Tribolium castaneum: one gene and its partner. The protein of the gene in region 1 binds, or shares a complex with, the protein of each later gene. Links are inferred from orthologs where the notes say so. Each region holds a gene or a part of one and is shown on either strand. Other genes may lie near its edges.

What was found. Proteins that work in one complex are often made in the same cells at the same time.
Region 2: Csl4 (region 1) and exosome complex component RRP43 share a complex: the UniProt entries of both Homo sapiens proteins name them as parts of the RNA exosome core complex. The link is inferred for Tribolium castaneum from reciprocal best matches to the Homo sapiens genes EXOSC1 and EXOSC8.

The regions. Positions count from the first base shown.
Region 1 is NC_087401.1:17,299,486-17,302,584, reverse strand, and holds Csl4 (exosome complex component CSL4), read left to right. Parts: upstream 1-1,627; 5' UTR 1,628-1,714; intron 1,715-1,770; 5' UTR 1,771-1,927; coding exon 1,928-2,518; 3' UTR 2,519-2,574; downstream 2,575-3,099. Other genes in the region: protein HGH1 homolog, read right to left, coding at 287-1,287, 1,334-1,421. UniProt on the Homo sapiens protein: Non-catalytic component of the RNA exosome complex which has 3'->5' exoribonuclease activity and participates in a multitude of cellular RNA processing and degradation events.
Region 2 is NC_087402.1:7,982,065-7,985,420, reverse strand, and holds exosome complex component RRP43, read right to left. Parts: upstream 1,784-3,356; 5' UTR 1,656-1,783; coding exon 1,639-1,655; intron 1,586-1,638; coding exon 1,411-1,585; intron 1,367-1,410; coding exon 1,072-1,366; intron 1,026-1,071; coding exon 905-1,025; intron 858-904; coding exon 650-857; 3' UTR 580-649; downstream 1-579. Other genes in the region: CycA (G2/mitotic-specific cyclin-A), read left to right, coding at 2,135-2,281, 2,337-2,771. UniProt on the Homo sapiens protein: Non-catalytic component of the RNA exosome complex which has 3'->5' exoribonuclease activity and participates in a multitude of cellular RNA processing and degradation events.

The sequences.
Region 1 (3,099 bases):
AATTTAAACACGTTTTTTGACCAAAAATCTAGTTTTTTTTTTCATGTTTTTATTAAACTAGAACAGAAAAATCACCAAATTTGGTCAAAAATGAATGAAAAGTTACCGTTTCTAAACAAAAACTCAAATATTGCGCAAAATTTCTAAATAATTTAATTGTTATGGAAACGGCCAGAACAACAGTGACAACTGTTAATACAGTGAAACTTCTGTCACCCGAACTAATTCGTCCGAAATTATATATTTTTGAAATATATAGAAAGACGAAATTTAATTGTAAAAAAATTTATTCATCTTTTAAAAACTGCTCATCCGCTTTATTGAAGTCTTCGCTTAAACTTTGGGGCACTTTAAGTGTCTTCAAATCATCTTCTCCAATTTCCTCCTCGGTGCGTATCAAAATATCGACCAAATTTTCACACGCTAAAAGCACCTTTCTGTCCTTTTCCCACTTGTGCAACTCGCGCAAAATCACATAAGTGTTTCTCTCTCTGATAAATTCTCGATTTTTTCTCTTGGCACATAACTGGGTCAAAGCCTCCAGTAACATGCACCTGATATCTGGATCTTCTTCACGCTGTTTCTCCTCCGGGAGATATTGCAGTTCAAGGGGGAGCTTGTCGTTGTCTTCGTCGTCAAATTCCTCGTTTCCGGCCAGGGGGCGGAGCAGCCGGGGCAAGATATCGACATGGGGGCCCAAGAGCAGCTCATGACACTCGGGGTCAAATGTGCAGTTACGCAGGGCCCCCACGACGCCCCCGCGCCTCACGGCCGACTCCTCGAATTCAATGAAAGGCACGAGTTTGTGGATCCGGTCCAGGAAGCGTCTCCGGACGCGCCCACTTTGCGACAAGTTCGAAAAAAGGGGGCTCAAGTAGTGGAGGTTAGCCCCCGCTTTATTGTACTGTTTTTTCGTGAAAATGTCAATCAAATCGTCCAAACTTGCGCTTTTCTCAAGCGCATCAATCACTTTATCGTGATTGGCCCGAGATAAGTTCGATAAAATCATGCAGGAAAAATCGGCGATTTTACTCATGGGGTCCGTCACGAATTTAACAACAGTCGAAGTAATGTCACTCGGGGGGCTCTGTAAAGGGGGGCACCCCACACTCGTGTCCAAATCAAGCAATGCCAGGGCCCCCTTGTGATCAGCAGAGACATTAACAAGGCAAAGTGCCGAGTCTTTGACAATTGTGGCGTTATTATCACTCAAAAGTGTGATTAAGGAGACCAGAAGTGACGGTGTGTTGATTAATGTGGCAATTCCGTCCGCATTCCCCGTCAAACCTACAAAAAAATTACAAAAAACAAGTCTAACCTCGAACCCTATTACCCAAAATGTGCCCCAAAGCCACCGATTTGAGGTCCAAACGGGCCCCCAGATGCACAAACTGCAACAATTCGGCCACGGAATCACCCATTATCAGGCTAAAGCCCCCAAAAAAAAACAAAACACGAGGGGTGACAGCTGTCAAAAAAGTGGGGTTAGGTGGCAAAAAATCATTCTAATAAGTAAGGCATTATTTTTTTAGGTTTATCTCTACGTTGTATGTATATACAGGGTGTAATGAGTAGTTAAATAAACATAACATAAACCAGTTTATTTAATTCTGTAGCCAAATTAATGGTCGTAATTGGTAATTAATGTTAATTAATGAATGAGAAAGTAAAATTTTGCAAATTCGTTTTTTGACAATTGACAGTGACACTTGACGTAACCTCAAAAAAATCAAAAATTTCGTTTTTGTGCTGATTTTTCGCATGTTATAGCTCCTTGTGTGCCTTTGATTGGCTTTGAACGTCGTCTGCCGTGATAATAATATTGACAGTAAAAGGAACACGCAGTTTTTGAAATTTCTTCATGTCAATTGACATTTGACTTAACCTCAAAAAAAATCAAAAATTTCGTTTTTTGTTGATTTTGGGCATGTCATCGCCCCTTGTGTGCCTCCCGGGGCAGCGGCTGTGCCTGTCGGACCCCTCGCACGTGTCCGGTCAAGGCACGTACGAGCGTGGGGGCTACATCTACGCCACCCTTGCCGGTGTTGTGGACATTGTCCCCAAAGACAACGTCCAGATCATTGAAGTGCGCAGTTCCGGGCAGGAAACGCTCGTGCCGTCACAGGGCGACATCGTCACAGCGCAAATTCACACAATCACGCAGCAGTTTTGCAAATGCTACATTAAGTGTGTCGGGGATAAGGTTTTGGGGCGGCAGTATCGCGGGATTTTGCGGAAGGAGGACGTGCGAGCGACGGAGAAGGACCGCGTGGAGATTTACAAGAGTTTCAGGCCCGGGGACGTGATTCTGGCGAGGGTTTTGCCGATCACGGAAGCTCACACTTATCAGTTGTCCACGGCTGAGAATGAGCTGGGGGTCGTGACGGCGCACTCGGAACATGGGGGGCTTATGGTGCCTGTGAGCTGGACGGAGATGCAGTGCTCCAAGACGTTTGTGAAGGAGGCCAGGAAGGTTGCAAGAGTTGTGCCAGAAAGCGTGCAAAATGATGTGAAATAATGTTCAATAAATTGTATTTTTGTTTATTTTAATAAACCCTTTTGCGTCCCTTAAAAGTGCAAAAAAGTTAATTGAACTATTAGAGATAACCCTATAAAGTTTATAATCGTTGGAAAGCTCTTTGGATTATCTATTTTTTTCAAAAATGATTATTGTTCTCCGACTAATAGTTTTCGAGAAAATTGCAAGCAAAAGCAAAAATTGGAAACATTAAAAAAATCATAACTAAAAAACTATCGGGAATTTGGCGATTTTCTCGATGTCAATCGATTTCCCGGATCATTTTGCATAGGTAAGGATCAAAATAGTTCCACTTTTTCGAATAGTTTAGCCGTAATTCGATAAAAATTGAAAAACTTAAAAAATCACGCTGCTTCCTGAAAAACGTGCTCAAAAAACTTAAAAATAAACGCAGGCGCGAAAATTTGAATTTGAACCTAATTCTTTAAATATCTCGGAAACTAAGCGTTGGGCGCAATTTTGTTCTATGAGAGAAAAGATGCAACTTGATGTAGTCTAAGCGACGGTCTGGTTGAAATTGTAATTTTCAATAGTCATTTTGCTATCTCTTTAAGGAGCCA
Region 2 (3,356 bases), on another chromosome or scaffold:
TGTAATGTTTCATTTTCTGGTTACATTTGTTTTAATTCTTCTAAAATCGGATCATCAACAAAAAAATATTTGTAGTATTAAGATATCAGGCATAAACGAGGACAAAATGTTATACTTTATAAAACATCAACGATGTAAAATTACACATTGTTAAAATATACAAATTTTTATTAAAACCCCTATTATTTATTGTTCCTGGTATTTTTCTACTACCATTCCTGTCCTAGGCGCAAACTTTTAACTGTACATACAGTAGACTTATTTCCCTTTTGAACGAAATGTGTAAAATACTTTGTAAAAATATCTAACATCCTTAGTCTCTACATTTGTATCATATGTGATTATGTGGTGAGTTGTAGTATTTTGTAATAATGTATATTATTTGCAATGTTTCGTATTTTTTGTACATAAATTCAGACACGTGTTGAATATTTGGCAATACCAATATGTATACTCGTTAAAATGTAAAGTGTTGATTTTTCCCGATTTTTATTTTTTCAATCCTGTAACAAAGACAATAGATTTTTTTATAAATGTGTGGTGATTTAATTTTAAATTCGGTTAAATGATCACACAACCTACTGTGGAACCTGTTAAAATTTTTATTTAAATAATATAGGATATACATTTATAAAAAAAAATGTTTTTATTATAAACTTTTAAAAGCTGTTTCTATAATTTCCTCAATCACAGTTGCACGTTTTGTACTTTCTTCCACACACTTTAAAAGTTGCTCTTCCGTAAAAACACAGCCACCTGGCTTGTGAACAAAACACAACTCTTCTTCCTTCACCACAATTGTCACCAAAGACGTACTTAAGTCCTCCTCATCCACTGTTGGGTCTATGAGAATTTTACTACAATCAAAAAATTAAAAAGTTTACAACAACAATGATAAGCTTACTCATCAAACATTGCAAACGTTGTTGCTATTGGAGTGTTGGTAACACTAAGAGCTTTCCTCTCTTGCACATTCACTTGCTTGTTGTCAAGGGCTGGATCGTACTGAACCGCTGGCAAAGTAACTGAAGCGCAATTATATTTTTCACAAAAAAACAATATTGTCTTTACCTGACTTAAGCGCTGCCATTAACGCAACAACACACGCGTCTATCAACGCCCCATCCAAATCCAAACAAATTAAATCAGCATATAAACACCAAGCTAATTTGTCTGGAAATATACATAACGTTTTTAAGTCTAAACAATCAGAGTTTTTTAAAATATCGGCAACTAACTGGGTCGCTACTTGGGCTTGTTCAGTTGGGGGTCCTGGCCGAAATTTTGACGAACACAACGGTGGTAATTCCACATTGGGGATCAAAAACCCCTCGTTTGCAGCCTCAGCCTTGGGCTGACACAACTCCTAAGGTTTGGTTTAGCAAATTGAATGCCTCCAATTACACTCACCGCTTTAATGCCGCAAACTACCGTCGTGCGACCAACTTTGGCAATCGCAGACCCATCGGCTGTCGAAATTGAGCCCAAATTGACCACGATGGGGCGATATTCCCCAAATTCGCGCCCATCAGGTCGGATTTTGTGGGCCAAGTGGTCGCGGAAGTACTTGACGGGGTGCAAAATCCTAAAACATAGGATAATCACCTTGTTATTTATTCACAGTACTACAATTATTACTTGTATTGTTCTGACATTATTGAATTTGTTTATAACCACGTTTTTCGTTTTTGACAATTGACATTATTAATGACGTTAGTTTTGATTGGTTGCCGACAACGGTGGGGGAAACGTTTGATTTGAAACGAGTAAATTCGGTTGAATAATGCAATTTTTGTAATGAAGACATTTGCTTGCAAATAGGGCATTTGGTTGGGAACAAGTATTGTCGATTGATTTTTGATTTAGTGCAAAATTCCGTTAAACCCTTCAAAACATGTTATCCCCACTCGTGTGACGTTGCTTAAATCTGGGCTCCCATTGGTCCCGTTTGTCATTTCAACGGTCTCTCAGCTGTTCGTTTCCCGCACTCTGCGCTCTTTGCATCTGGCCGTTAAAAACAGTCGTTTTGTCGGTTAGGGGTAGCTTGGGTGTTTAAGTTGGGGTTCAGTTTGGCCTTCGGTTCAGCAAACTTTTCGTTTTTCGGGTATTAGAAACTTGCACGTGTGTTAGAGGAATGGCATCGATAAGAATTCACCAGGACCAGGAAAACCGGGTGCCGGAATTGCGCCGAAAACCGGGAACGACTGCCCAGCAAAAACGGGGCGTTCTGGGCGAGATTGACAGTAATAAAGTTAATAACGCAGCCCTTAAAGGAAAACAGGTAATTAACAGTTGGAGGTAACTTTGGATGGGAAAAACGTTTGCTTTTTTGCCAGACGAAGAAGCCAACCGTTTTGGGAAACCGGGTGGAAAATGGGCAAAAAAACGAGAATAAGAAGAATGTCGTGGTTCCGGTGGCCCAGTTTGAGGCGTTTACTGTGTATGAGGATGATGAATACAGAGCGAGAATCGATGAAAGGCTCAAACTTATCAGTAAGAGTAATGTGTATAAAGGGACGGCCGAGGACAGGTTTATCACGAAGACAGAACTTGCCGAAATTGAAAGGAAAAAGAATTTGGAGAAATTGAAGGAAATTACTGCGCCTCAACTTAAGAGAAAATCGGAGATTCCGATGAGCATTGAGAAATCAGATGTGGAGAACATTGAGCTCAAAGAGCAAACGGTTTCCACAAATACCAATGCTAGAGATGTCTTTTTTGAAATGGAGGAGTATAGGGATAGCATTTTTGCTTATCTCAAAGAACATGAGGTAAAGTATCTTCAAGAACGACGAGAAAATTATTCCAAGTTTTTTTACATCCATTGACATTTATTCTCAATTAAAAAAAAAAAAACAGATTGAAGCCCTTTTTATTAACAACTTTGACTTTTTTTGAAATACTTTCGGGGCGGGAAATTTCATTATGGCTTTAATTTCGTATATTATATTCCATACTCTACGTTGTGATATGTTAAAAACATGAGAACACTTCAATTTACGATTTTTACCTATAACTTGAAAACTATCTTTTGTGGACTTTTCTCTAGAGCCTTTAGATGTGCCAAAAGCGTCAATTGAACCGGTTTTATAAAATCAGATTTATCAATTTTTGCGAAAATTTTGGTTGATTTCGATACCCGGAGCATTTATCGGGCAATAACTCCGGAACTGTTTTCCACGACCTTATTAAGATTGATCGTTGAAAAGCTTTTTTTATTTTCTATCTGCGACTGAAGAAATTGCTACTAAATGCAAAAATAGAAAGAAATTATTTCTGTAGATAACTTCAAAACTGTTACAAGTTTGGCCGTTTTCTCGACGTCAATCTATTCTTCGGATTATATTACATTGGAG